Linked DNA regions of Drosophila melanogaster. The protein of the gene in region 1 interacts with the protein of each later gene in a pairwise test. Each region holds a gene or a part of one and is shown on either strand. Other genes may lie near its edges.

Region 1 (7,997 bases):
TGAAATCTTAAAACCCAATTCCTTCCATTGTACTGGACTCCACAATGTAGTGTCGTAGCGGTATAAGTATGATCTCTCTGTTAAGCGCAGCAACAAGGTGGCAGCGCTTGCACTTCCGCTAACGTTAAAAGTTTGAACAACCCGGCAAAATATTTTAAATAATTTAAATAAATAAATAATAATTAAATAATTTAATAAATAAAACACAAAGCCTTTCATCAATTTTAAAGAGCTGCCTATATTATTTTGCTAGATTTTGCTTGTGCTTTTGTAGTAAAACAGAAAGATCGTTAATGAGGAATATGAAAGTGTTTTTACTAAATACAACTTTACCAGAATCTTTGGCATAAAGCCAAAATAATACTTAATATGAAATATGTTCTTATCAAACTTGCAAATTCAATTTTCCCGCCAAATGTAAAGTGTGACCAGTTACAAGTACCAGTCCTTGTGAGCCTCTGGTTTTTTATTAGCTAAAAGCGGCGGGCACTCCGCAACTCAGCTGATCGATCAAACAAAAAATATTGATACACAGGAATTTATGAAAAAAAATGCGCAGCGTTTAGAAAGGAGAAAGTATTTAGTAGCACGCACGAAATGGACAAGAATCTGGATGAGGTTTGTGTTTGTACTCTCCTTTTTTTATATTCAGCCCCCTAAAACCGAATGGACTGTGTGTTTTGACTGCTGTTTACTGATACACGCCCCAATTTTTCATCGCCCAGGTCAAAGACACCGTACAAAAGAAGTTCAATGAAATCCGTGCTGCGTTGCATATGCGCGAGAAGTTGCTGCTCCGGCAACTGGAGGTCATAGCGAACACGCGACAGCAGCAGCAGCTGCTGAAGAAGTCGCCCACCGAAATGGAGAACTCGAACTCGGTTGGCAAGAAAGATCAAAGTGGTGTGCGTTTCATTCCCGGGGAAAGCGAGGATGCGGAGGAGAAACTACTGACAGCCATCCGAAGCTACGGACACTTTCTGCTGGACAACAGTGATATGCAGTTGGCGCTGCAGGATTACCGCACCACGGGTTTGAGGAACGAGGACTACATAGAGCCACTAGATGACCACGAGACCATGTACAAGTGCCTGCAGGATGGGCAAGTATCGTATCTCGATCTGGACGAAGACGGTGCCCCACCAGAGGCCATTGTGGTCGACTTCTCTCGCAACAGAAGTCTCGTCGAAGATAATGCCAAGCGCTCCATTATCAACATTACACTGCAGGAGGCAAAGGATCTGATAAAAAAGGCCAAGATCAAGAGGGATACATATGTGCCGCCCTTAAACTTGGAGGAGCTGGATGACGAGTTGGAATCTTCGATTGCCGAAGCCGTTTCCAGCTTGGGGCGAGAAACCTCTGCCAAATCAAAGAGCAGCGTACAAGAACCACCGAAATGCAAGGGTCGCAAACAGCGCTTCAAGCCAAAAATCACAATCAACAATTGCAATGGCACGATCAATCTGCGCAACATAGCCAGCCTGACCATCAACTGCGCCAGCGAAGAGGCGGTGAGTGCAGAGATGCCCCTGGCCAAGTCCGCCGATTCCAGTACCACCGAACCCTCGAACTCCACGCCCACCACCACCGCCTCCAGTTCCAATTACTCCAGTAATGCCAGCTCCCGTTCGCAGTCCAAAAAGCAAAAGGCGAACAAAAAGCTGGACAAGATAGAGCGTGAACCCAGCTCGGATTCCACTCCTACGCCTGGACAGGCCCAGCGGTACGAGGAGACCGAGATTCACGATGTCACCTGCGATTTTTACAATCGCCTACTCAACGAGATCAAGAAGAGCATGGTAGAGAAGCCACGCAGGACATACAACCAGTTGGCAGAGCCCGTTCAAACATCGGCTGCCGATTCCAGTTGCGATGCCAACTGCAATCCAAAGCAGTCGGCTGCCAAACAGGAGCCAGTTTCGACCACCACATCGCTAACGCACAGCGAATCGGGACCACAATTGCAGCCGGGCAAGCGGCTAATCCTTAAGAACTTCGAGAATCTCAAGATCATCCTCGAGGCAAACAGCGGTGATGAAGACTCATTCCATCCCGTCCAAATCGAGCAGTGGCTGGCAGAGATTATCTCCGAAACGGATCTGGAGCCCATGCAGAACACGGATATCCTGGAGCACAGTCGCATCCACAGCAGCGAGAGTCCCTAGAGCTGCGGACTCGCTGAATTCCGAACTATTTATATCGTTAGTGCACTCAGTATTTTCTGTTTGTTATGATTAGCTATAGATTCCTTAATTTGTTTTTAGTTTAAATTCTAATTTTAATTAGTTTTGATTTCGTGCAGACACTTGCAAATGTTTTTTATATCCAATTTAAACTGAAATTGGCCGCACTGGAGCTTAGGAAATTTTTAATCGAAATCGCTGAAGTTTATACATTTGTGTATAAATATATTAATATTTAGTATACGGCATAAAAGTGAAAGTTTTAGAAATGTAACCATATACTTTTATTTATCAGATAATGTTTTTTAAGAACTAATAGTACCCAAACCTTATTGCTCAATCAACTTTCACCAGAAACCAGAGCCGGATCCAATTGTTTATGTACTTAATGCATTTGATTTTGTGATTTTAATCTTTTCGTAAGACTCGAAACTGGTACCAATTTAGCAAGTAAGCTCCAGCCAGTGTTCAATGCTCACCGTAGCCCATTTGTAAATGCAATCGAGAGAATTCCACATTAAAGTGTTAATTGCCATCACAAAATGAAACATCTATTCGATTTCTTGCTACTGGATCGACCGGTTCGGTTCGTTTCGTTCGCTTGAATTTCGCCATGCAATTGAAATTCGAAATGTACCCTGGGCCATTAGACTTCCAAATCGGGACAATAGATAAGACCATCGAAATATACATTCTAGTTTGGGTGTGCATGTGAGCGAGGCACTCCAAAAGCATTAGTAATGTTGATTCGAGACTAGAGTGGACTTCTTTTATTGAATACACATCTTAATGTATTAGAATAACTTCTATATTGATGTAAGTAAAAGCCTTTGAGTCTTATTTAAGCCACTTAATCGGTAAAATGAATATGCTGGTCCCTGAATATTTATTCTTTTGCTTATTAAAGTATAAAATATGGAGAGCTCCGTATAAATAATTAGAAAATCCTACAAAAATTGCACTATCTGTTACAAAAAGTTCCATTTTCCATTAATGATTTTAAGAGGTCCACTCTAATCTACGCATGTACATATGAACATGGTATCAAGACATCGGACATGGAACGTAGACCATTACTTGACCTTTCCGATAATGTCCAGCAGAAAGGGTGTGTAGTAGGTGATGATGCAATCGGCACCAGCTCGTCGAAAGCCCTTCATGGCCTCCAGCACGGCATCCTTGAGGTCAAAGGCTCCCGCCTTGGCGGCATGATACAGCATAGCGAACTCCCCGGAAACCTGGTAGACGTACAGCGTGTGATACGGATAGGAATCCTTTGTGGATCGTAGGATATCCAGATAGGGCATTCCCGGTTTCACCATCAGCATGTCGGCTCCCTCGGCGACATCACGTTGAATGGCTCTCATTGCTAAGCTTCTGGAGCCACTGGGCAGTTGATAGCACCTCCGGTCACCGAATTTCGGTGCAGATTGTGCTGCCTCCCGGAAGGGTCCATAGAAATTGGATGTGAACTTGGCGGAGTACGCCAGCAGGGATACACTGTTCATCTGGGCATCGATGAGGGCCTGCTTAATGGCCTTCACCCGGTTGTCCATCATGTCCGATGGAGCCACAATGTGTGCTCCAGCTTTGGCATAAGCCACGGCGATCTCGGCTATCCGCTTTATGCTGGGTCCGTTCTCCAGACCCGTTTCGCCCAGCAGGCCGCAGTGACCGTGCGAGGAGTACGGGCAGATGCACACATCACAGGCTATCAGCAGATCCGGAAACCATTCCCGGAGCTTCGGCAGTGCGAGAACGACTGGATTCTTTGCTGAATCCGCATTGGAGGCCTGCTCATCCTTCATGTCCGGGTCCACAACGCCAAAGAGCAGCACCGACGACAGTCCCTTGGCCACCAGCGGTTCCAGGTGCTCCTTCAGGCGATTCAGTCCGAATCTCGAGATTCCTGGCATGCTGGCAATTGGCTGGACATCGTCGTCGTTGCTCACGATGAACACCGGATACATGAGATTGTGCGGCGCTATCTCGCAGCCCGACTCCTGCAGCTGCCGCAGCGTGGCATGGTGCATTCCACTGTGCAGTTTCCGCTCCATTTTGTTCGCTTAGCTCCCGGTGAAAATTAAAACCAACGTAACAACAAGTGAAATTAACGTTCAACTGCCCGCGGGCATATTTAGTGCGTGCTCTATTGCACGGTTGTCCAACACTGTCATGAAAAGATTAGGGTGGCTCACGATAAAATAAAATAATTAAATTTAAAAACTTATATAAATAATTAAGATAAAATTTTATTTATATTAAGAATTTCATAGCGATAAATCCCTTAATTAATTTTTTATCCATATTGATTAAGGATAGGTCAACACTGCGTATGCGTAGTATTACTTGAATATTGCTATTGAATTTGTAATTTATTGAATTCCAGGATTTATTATTAAAATACCCGGTAAAATAAAAGAAAACCACACTGTTTATTTCTGCGTACGACTATTTATTTAACTTTATTAGTTCTCCCGTTTAAAATGTTTGGTATTAATCGTTATTACAGCAATAAAAGTTGGTGTTCCTGCTACGCTTCCTCACACCCACATACACACATCCTCGATCCTTGGGCCTTCCCCGCTCCACTTTGCTTGTTAATGGATAACTAAACATATGGTCTACATTATATAGATGTACACGTTATACGAAATATTACAAATAGTTGGCCAACATGCTATGCTTAGGCGTAATTCAAATAAACACGAATACATAAGTTATTATTTTAGCCTGTCCTTGCTTAAAGGTTGTACTTTTGTCTTAGTTTTTAGCATTGAAATCAGTGAACGAGAAACGGAACTAAAGCCTAACTTAAGCGTAAACGAATTGGGTTCAGTATTTGGTTTGGTTTTCAATTGTAAGTAACAGCCATTGGAAGTGCGTGTTTTCCTCTGTCTTGGGTTTTGTTGCGATGGTTTCGATGATGGCGATTAGCTTGTGCATCGGATTCCGTGTTTCCTGGACTAAGAAACCAGCGTGTGATGGTAGTGTACACGCTTCTTCTTTCGACGCCTTGGTCGCGGTTTCAATTGACCCACGGCTCCATTATTCATATTTTCCTCCTCCTGAACTCCGACTGCTGCTCCATGGATAGTGACAGTGTAGGAGTGCAGCTGGAGCATCTCTCCGACGGTTCCCGGTTCCTGACTTATGCTGTGTGATGCTGGTGTGTGACTGGCGGTTGGTGGTGCGCTAGAAGTAGCTACTGCTGCTGCTGAGGAGTCCACCTGAGCTTGTCAGGCGAAAGTCACTTGGTAGAAGAGCCACTCTTCCATGAACGACGGCACAAACGCCTTGGTGGTGGTGAACTTCACCTTGGGACGCAGCAAATTCAACTGCTCCTCGAATAGACGCAGCTGCACCTTGCAGGTGGACCCATTGCCATGAGTCAAATACTTTCCGTCGGGTTTCAGCACCTTGAAGGAGTGCTCGAAGATGGTACGAATGAAATCCCAGGTCTCGCCCTCCGGGGCATCGGTTATGGGTATGTCCGTAAGATCCCCAAAAACGTAGTCGAACTTGCGGCCCTCGGCGATGAACTTCTTCAAGTACTCCACACAGTCGCCCACAATGATCTCGTACTGATCGCCCTTGCGTTTCTCCAGCACATCGCCGCAGATCACGTTGAGGTATTTGTTGCAGGTTTGCATCACAAGCTCATCGATCTCCAGCATCACCACATGCTTCGGATTCTCCTTGAGTAGCTCGTACAACAAGGCGCCATCACCGCCGCCCAGGATGCAGATCTCCTTGCCCTCGTAGTTCTCCACGCCGCGACACATCAGGGTCTCCGTGTAAATCAAATCGGATTCAGCAATGTCTGTACGTGGAAAATGGGAAATTAGACATCTATATTTAAAAAAGAATCAAAAGAAGTTGCTATTACCCTTTTCATAACCGACAGCTTAAAAAGTTTTTAATCTAGTCGAGAATTCATGTTTTCAAATTCAGCTTTCTTATTCTTCTTTTAAGCAATAAGAATATTTCATTATATTTAGTTAACAAGCAACTAGGTGTTCGTGATATGGAATAATTGTCAGGTAACATAGCATTAGCATCCAGAAAATGCCCGTGATATGGAATATTTACTTTTGTGCATTATGTTTATGTGCAGTTTATATTTATTTATGATGACCTTTTCTTAAAGGCAATTGCACGTGACCTTTACTGCGGCACTTCCACTAATCGATTGGTGACCCTGACACCGTTGGCGCATCAATGTGTGAATGTGCCACTTATTGCATTCAGATGCCTATACTAGGTATGGTTTACTTACTCTGCAGCTCGTCGAGGAGCAGCATGTTGCCCAGGGTCTTGGAGTGCATGATTTGAATCTTCTGGAAGGGCGAGCGCGCCTCGAAGACCACCTTGTCGATGTCGTACTCGATGATGCGCTCATCTGCGGAAGATGTGCCATGGATTAGTGATGCCTTATTAGTGACCGTATTAAGTGCGATATTGATTATTACTAGTACTGATTTCGGCTCAATTGTTAGGCGTCGCATGCAGAGAAACAAGTTTAAGACCAACGAAATGCACTCTTACGGAAAGTAAACGAGATATAGATAGAGAGAAAATCAGAAGTAAATGACTGAAATGATCTATCATGCTGGGTGCCACTAGAAGAACTCTGATACAATCAGCTCGATGGTGCTGCATACGCTCAATGGTCATACGGTCATACGATCACACACAATTCGGATGACATACAGTAGCGGTAGTACGAGTAGTATTTGCTCTATTTGCAATATGTTTAACCAAACGGATTGGGTTTGCCTTACCTGACGATGGGAAGTACCTGGAGACATCGCCGCGCTTCAGCGTCGGCAGCTTCTGGGCCTTGATGGCCTTCAGTTTGATTGCCAGGACATTCTCCAGGCTCTTACCGCTCTGCGGATGTCCGTTCGATTTTACATAGTAGTATATTGTTTTTTTTTTTTATAAACCGTGTTGTATTGATATTTTCGTGTTGTTGTAGTCGATTGTCAATTGTTGAGGAACCAATTTATGAGCGAGCGTACGACGTGGAGCGAATACGAGTACGAGATCGATTTCGAGGCGGGGCAGGTGACACATGTGCGTTGGGGCGTAAGTATAATTCAATAGTTTACACATTTATTCACAAGTTCGTGGCAATTTTGGTGTGTAATTTGGTCCAGGAGATGGTGGCAGCGGTTGTTCATGATGATCGATGGATCGGTTGAGTGTCGATGGAATAGATATGAAAATAAAACGTAATTTAAATTAAATAATAATCTTAGAACAGTGGGTATGCTAAATTGCAGTGATGCCAAGGAGCTGATATAAAATCAGCGTGGATACATAAAGGTATAAAGAGATTAAACCCACAGTACAATAATATGAGCAACTTGGCACCACTACTGCAAAGGTAGAAGGCTTCTTCCAAAGATTAGACAAACTAGCATGCAGGAGTGGCCTGGAAAAGTAATCCCCTAGAAGGTAACACGCTAGGCTAACATGATCGGTGGCTTTGGAGATGTGCAGAGCTTGGGAGGCGGTTCAAATTCTGGGCTGGAAATGACAACTCGGTGAATTTACATCAGCTGCGATACGGTGTCCAATTTATGTGATAGTCATGAGGGTTTTTTTTCTAATTTTATTTATTTTCTTTGCGGTGGCGGCAATCGGAAATACTAGTGGAAAAACTGCACAGGTGTTCTAGATTCTGCAGTGGAATTTTGAAAGAGAATTTCGGCATAAATTGTAGGTAATTGTATGTGAAGTGAGTTTGAGTAGATAAGTTATATATATTCATTGCAAATGAAACTAGCAGGAACTAAACTGGAT
Region 2 (6,658 bases), on another chromosome or scaffold:
CTGCAAGAAATAGCGTAGGTTCTCGAGCGGATTTGTATATTTTGATCTTTTGGGAATTAAATCTTTTGAAAATATGTTAGATTATTTGATGCTAGAATGATGTGATCCCATAATATTGTACTGACTATGTGTTTGAATATATTCCGTCTCTAGCACAGAAACATCTTATTTTTCAGTGCATCTACTCAAGCTTGCAATCTAATCTGAAATGAGGTGTAAAGATGATGTTTTCGAAAAGTGCCAGACTAGCGAAGAAGATGGAAAGTTTTACATTCAATTTTCGGTCTGATTAGACAGCAAAACATTACCGAAAATATAATGTTTTCTATGAATCAATTGTGGACCCAATCTAATCTGCGGAGTGGGAGTAGGGCTCACCACCAATCACGTGCGTGCCCAGAACATTGGCAGTGGTCATGATCTTCACGCAACTGGGTATTCGAAATAAAAGCCAGGGCCAACGGCCAACTATACGCTTTCTGCTTTCGATAAGGAATTTGAATAGTTACTCGATTTAATAGGCATCATATAGATTTTTGGATCAGGAAATATCACCTGGCACAGTTTGGTTAACATATTTTACAAGATTTGCTCAAACTAATCCAGTCTTTGTGTACATTAGCTATAAGAAATACTGACTACGTGAATTTAAACTGAGCGGGAATTTTTTTTGAGGCTTAGCTTCTGCTGGCAATGAACTTGCGGCGACCATGGATGTACCACATGGTTTCGTGGTAGGAGCGAGGCAGCACCTCAGTAACCGCGTCTGGAGCGGAGAAGGTATAGTGAAACGTGTTAGTGGTCACGTGGTTCCCCGTGTACGCGTCCAGGACTTCGGCAACAGTCATGATCTGCAGGTAGTTCTCCTGGGTGTACACCACATACGCGGTCATCTTGATAAAGCTGTTCACGCTGACCGGCTTCTGGAAGCTAATGTCCGATATGTGCTCCAGCGTGGGTCTGGCCTTGCAGTAGAGGAACGCTGTTGCCCAGCTAATTTCCAGGGCACTGCGCATGAGGAATCCCCCGAAGACAGTGTTGTTTTGGTTCCTGTGCTCCGGGAATGAGGGAATAGTGCTCATCTGGAAGGAGTCGTGCATCCAAATGCAGTTGGGAGGCAGGAGGCGGCGCGGACCGGTTTGCTCGTTGGGAGTAGTCCTTTTGTAGAGTTTGTAGATGAGAGATTGTTCCTCGGCGTTGGGTTCCACCTTGAAGACGGACTGAGCGATGAGTAGCTGTCGTTGCTTCTTCCTGTCGGTCCCGCCAGCTAGGATGCGCTTCTCCTCCTCGTTGGCAGGCTGAATGGGATTCACTGGAGCCGCAGCTGTGTTGGTGGCATTTCTCGCCGCCATCAGAAACAGAGCTCGCGTGATTTTCTGATACTCCTCATTGACAATCTGCTCCAGCCATACCACCACCTCCATGGAACTGGTTCCCACCCAGGACACGTGGCCAGACAGACGGATGTCTTGGGTGCCCTGGGGTGAGACACTGGTGAAGTCGATCCGGTCCACCAGGACCGTCACGAGGGAGTACGGCAAGGGTACTCCCTCTGGCAGATTGGGCACTTTCAGGTGCCTATTACAGCACCAAGCTACGAAGAATTAAGCAGACAATTATTCAACAACATGGCTTTGGCCAAACTAGATGGTACCGGCGAAGATGTCCATGTCCTCCAGAAGCCTGCCAAGGCGCGCGAAGCCTCTAAAGTTGATATACTTGTCCTGCAGAACTGCATTCGTGCTCAGAGGAATGATGGCCGAACAAAACGAGTCCTGCATAGATCGCGCAGGTAAGTCCTCAAACTTGGGTTGGTACTTGAGTAGATCCTCCCTGGACTTCGGCTCCGTGGTGAACCCAGGCTCCAGGCCGAAGCTTTTCAGCATCTTCTTCTTGACTAAAAGGGATATCTGGACAAGTAGCACCTATTTCTGGAATGGAAGTACTTACTCTCCGTCATAGTGGCGTATTGACCGTCCGCAGAGGAGTTACGCCCATTAGAGCTAGAAGAAATGTGGCCTATAAAATCTGATTTCTGCTAGTTGTGTTGGTGCTTCACCTGGAATTTTTATGTGTCATCTTCCTGAGGGTCCTGGCCTTTAACAAGCTCCGGCAGCTGCGGGCTCCGAGCAAAAAAGGTACAACACATAATTTAACATTTCTAAGACCAGGCCCCATGGAAACGGATCGGGATCGAGATCTGAACTCAGATCCGACACGAAATTAAAACTATAAATTTTGCTTCAGCTCTGCTTTTTTGATTACAGGTAATGGGTATCCAAAAAATGTAAAGTCGGCAAAAATTAGGGATTATTTTGACAGTTATTATATTAATAAACATTTAATCTAGTACTCTTCGATAGGGTTTAATAGAAGATTTTAAAAGTTTTAAGCTGGTTGGTTAAGCACATCATTAAACAACAGACATTTATTGCTTTTTGTAAACACTGAACTGGTAATTGCATTTATCTGGTAGGATAGCCTTGCATAATATCTTGAGTAACAATCACAGGCTGAACCATGTCTACACTGGGCCCATGCTGGCCTCGAACTTTCGACGACCTTGGATGTACCACATGGTTTCGTGGTAGGAGCGGGGCAGCACCTCGGTAACCGTGTCCGGAGACGAGAAGGTGTAGTAGAACGTGTTGGTGGTCACCTGGCTGCCCGTTTGTGGGTCCATCACATCTGCAACGGTCATGATCTGCACGTAGTTCTCCTTGGTGTACACCACATAGGCGGTCATCTTGATGAAGCTGTTCACGCTGACGGGCTTCTCGAAGCTGATGTCGGATATGTGCTCCAGCTTGGGTCGCGTTTTGCAGTAGAGGTAGGCTGCTGCCCAGCTTATCTCCAGGGCACTTCGCATGAGGAAGCCTCCGAAGACCCGGTTGTGGTGGTTCCTGTGCTCCGGAAATGAGGGAATAGTGCTCATCTGGAAAGAGTCCTCCATCCAGCGACAGTTTGGTGGCAGGATGCGCTTGTTGAGTTCCAAAGTGTTGGTGGGAGTTGTCCTTTTGTACAGCTCGTACATAATTGTCTGCTCCGGGTCATTGGGTTCCACCTTAAAGATGGACTGAGCACAGAGAATCTGACGTTTCTTCTTTCTATCTGCGCCGCCAGCCAGAATCACTTTCTCTTCCTCGTTGGCCGGCTGTAAGGGGTTCACAGGAGCCGCTCCGGTATTGTTAGCGTTTCTTGCTGCCATCAGGAACAAGGCACGGGTTAACTTTTGGTACCTCCCGCCAACCATCTGTTCCAGCCACACTACCACCTCAATTGAACTGGTTCCCACCCAGGAAACGTGCCCAGACAAACGGATATCTTGGGTGCCTGAAGCCAAGACATTGGTGAAATCGATGCGGTCCACCAGAATGGTCACAAAGGTGTACGGCAGATGAACTCCCTCCGGCAGATTGGGCAGAACCAGGTGTTTATGACAGCACCAAGCTGGAAATAGCGGATAGTGAGAAAGTGCGCCAAGATTCCAGCAAATGTGTTCCTCATACCAGCAAACAAGTCCATGTCCTCCAGAAGTCGCCCGAATCGCACATTGCCCAGATAGGTCACATATTTGTCCTGCAAACTGCGGTCCGTGCTCAGAGGAATGATGGCCGAGGTGAAGGAATCCTGCATAGCTCTTGGAGGCAGATCCTCCAGCTTCGGCTGGTACTTGAGCAGCTGCTCCCTGGATTTGGGCAGCGGGTTGTAACCGGGCTCCAGCCCCAATCGCTTCATCATCCCCTGCTTGACTGCAGACGTTCGGGGATTACGATGGGTTTGACTCTGGCAAGACAACACTTACCCTCCGCCATGGTTCCGGATTCATTGGCGACCGCTGATTGCTTGATATGCGTGGGCGGTGAGTAGTGACGCCTGTTAGAGATGAAAGTACTCATTTACCATGTAAGCTCATCATTTATTTTTTGCTCTTACTTGAACAATGCGAAGGATGCTGGCACCTGTTTGGTGGGTAATTCCATAAAGTTCCTGGTGCGGATCAGGCCCCAGCACTTTTGTGCTCCTATCAAAGAACGCATCATCTCGGTTTAACTTAGTTTCGCAGCTTTCTCCTTGCTTTTCAAGTTACATACAAAGTGTAACCTGTCTTTGATCTAACCCCAAATAGAAAACAGCTGGCGGCCACAGCTGACTGGTACAGTGGGCTCGAGAAAATTCGTCTCCAACTAATTTCGAAAAGTTCGATTCTTTAGTATATTAATTTTTTCCCATTTACTTTAATTAAATTGATTTGAGACTGACTGTTCTTTACACAACAAAGTCTTCATTTAAAAAAAATCCTAATATATCTCATTATTTTCAGTATTCCATCAACTTGAGCCCACTGTTTACAGAAGTGATACATACGTATGACGTCATCCCGATTGTTGTTAATTTTAAACTGGGAAGCGAAGTTCCCTAGACAATTTCTCAAATTAACACATTGTTTTGTGATGCATAAATTATGAAATTAAGAGATTGTACTGTTTGAATATTGACTAATTGCTACTGTATATAAAATAACATATTAAAATTAAAATAGAAAATAGTCATCGTTTGTATAAACTATATTTGCAGGTATAAAACCTTGATATTTACAAAAGTATCTTGACCCGAACGCACTTAACGCAGATATTCGACCAATAAAACAAAAAATTATGGGAATAGTAAAATCCAAATCTCTACGCTTACAGATTTAGTTCCTTGAGCGCAAAGTTCAGCACCACCGGCAAAATACCAGCATCTTCCAGATCCAAGATCTGTTGCCGAAGGTTCTCCACCGGATGGGAATGTATCATCTGCAAGAAGAGTTAGAGTGACAATAGAGCATTTCGTTAAAGTGCGCGGTTCGAGCATACCTTTTTGATCTTTTGGCGTTGCTCGCTGCTCTGGCAGAAGCTGAGTAGAGAGGCGGCCATGTGCGGTCGATGGACGACGATGCAGAGCTGGGCGAACTGTAGCAGGTTGAGGGCGTGCACCACCGGACAGCCCTGCAGGCGCAGCAGCGTCTTGTGGAGCACCTCTTCCTGCTTAAAGGATCGTAGCTCGACTGCGTTCTGCAGAGGATGGCAGAGCACATAGTCCCAGGCCTGGGCCAGTCCATCCAGGTGAAGTAGATGCGGCCGGCAGCTGAGTACATCCAACAAGGCGTTCAGCTCGCGCACCATATGGAACATGACCATGCGCTTCAGAATGCCGTTCCAGATCTGCGGCAAGTGTATATCAAAGCCCAGGCAAATGTTGGCCATGACTTCCAGCGAAAGGGGATTCTGCGCATTACGCTGCCAGATCATCTTCAGAATGTCAATCTTGTTGCAATGGTCGTCGGAGAACTTCTCCAGGTTCGACTTGTAGCCCAGAGCCTTGAGCTCGTGCACACACTTGATGCTGATGAACTGGCGTTGGCTAATCGTGTTGGTAAAGGAGTTGCTGCCATCGTTTAGCTTGGAATAGCACTCGTACATTTGCAGCTGTGTGGAGGTGTTTACCGAACTGGTGGAAGGGTTTATTCAATGAATTATTTTCGCTAACTTTTAAGTACCAATCCTTACCCGCCCTTGAAGATCAGACCCACAAGGAACTTGACTGCCTCCGCCTTTGGCCAACTGGAAAGTATGTAAAACGCTCTATTTACGTTCTCGCTGGCGTCCTGGCTGTTGGAGGACTCTGCGCCGTTGGCCTGCTCCGGCCAGTTCTGCTCCTCCATGAAGGTCTCCTCCAAAATGGTACCATCACCCGCAGACTCCATAGTCAGAGCGAGCCACTTCTGTAGCAGGCGGTACTGGATGGTGGCTAAGCAGAGGTCGTGCAGCTTGGCTATCTCTGCGACCAGAGCGTTAATATCCACTTTGCTGGACTTGAGGATCAGCTCATGGTGGTAGAGCGCCTGAATAAGCTCGGTGGGGTTCTCAACTTGGCGCAGTAGCTTCTCATCGGTCAGGCCATAGACATACAGCAGGTGCTGGGTCTTCTGAATAGGATACCGTCGCTTCACCTTGGCAACCTGCTCGCGACTCTTTGGATCTGTAATCAGGTGGCCCTTCTCCTTGACAAACTTCCAGCACTCGTAGGAGGCCTCCACCTGATCGGCTCCATCACGAGCATAGTTGGACACGAAGTACAGTATTAGAAATGCCTTGTTTGGGTTGTTCACCTTCTCGACCAGTCGTAGTATTGACTGCAGGAAGGCATTATTCGTGGGATGAAGACTCCATGATTCCGAATCATTTTTCGACTTGTACTCCGATATCGAATTCTTTACTGCTGACATGCAGAAGTAGTCACAGTTCTGGGAACTATCCTTGGATCCCTTCAAAGCCGTGTACATCTGAATCAGTGGAAACCAGCTTTGGCAGTTGTCCACGTTTAGTTCGCTGTCTGAATAGAAGAAGCGGAAACTATAATTAAACAGAAGCATTAAGCATTAAACTATTTCAGTTGAATATACCAAGAATATCCTTAAGAGGTTGCTCTACGATGGGCTTAAAAGGCAGACGATATCGAGATATCTTCGGCATAACGCCATTTTCCCTTTGTGATTTCAGCCACGTGTCGGTTTCCACCTGACCTGGCCGATTGCGTCTTCTGGTGATCATCTTGTGTCTCAGGAAGTGCAAAATGTTCATCCAGATTTCCATTTCCTTCGGAGCCGAATCGA

What was found. Proteins that work in one complex are often made in the same cells at the same time.
Region 2: the proteins of Pbgs (region 1) and CG1635 interact in a two-hybrid assay, tested with the Drosophila melanogaster proteins (one large-scale study listed by BioGRID).

Annotation. Positions count from the first base shown.
Region 1 is NT_037436.4:12,267,033-12,275,029, forward strand, and holds Pbgs (porphobilinogen synthase), read right to left. Parts: upstream 4,314-7,997; 5' UTR 4,244-4,313; coding exon 3,260-4,243; 3' UTR 2,420-3,259; downstream 1-2,419. Other genes in the region: CG32100 (uncharacterized protein), read left to right, coding at 598-618, 726-2,168; Sms (spermine synthase), read right to left, coding at 5,426-6,009, 6,466-6,588.
Region 2 is NT_033777.3:31,586,138-31,592,795, reverse strand, and holds CG1635 (uncharacterized protein), read right to left. Parts: upstream 4,124-6,658; 5' UTR 4,044-4,123; coding exon 3,937-4,043; intron 3,877-3,936; coding exon 3,806-3,876; exon of another isoform or gene 3,753-3,805; coding exon 3,510-3,752; exon of another isoform or gene 3,451-3,509; coding exon 2,525-3,450; 3' UTR 2,404-2,524; downstream 1-2,403. Other genes in the region: CG1638 (uncharacterized protein), read right to left, coding at 678-1,594, 1,655-1,897, 1,951-2,003, 2,060-2,178; rod (rough deal), read right to left, coding at 4,689-4,799, 4,860-5,493, 5,553-6,378, 6,449-6,658.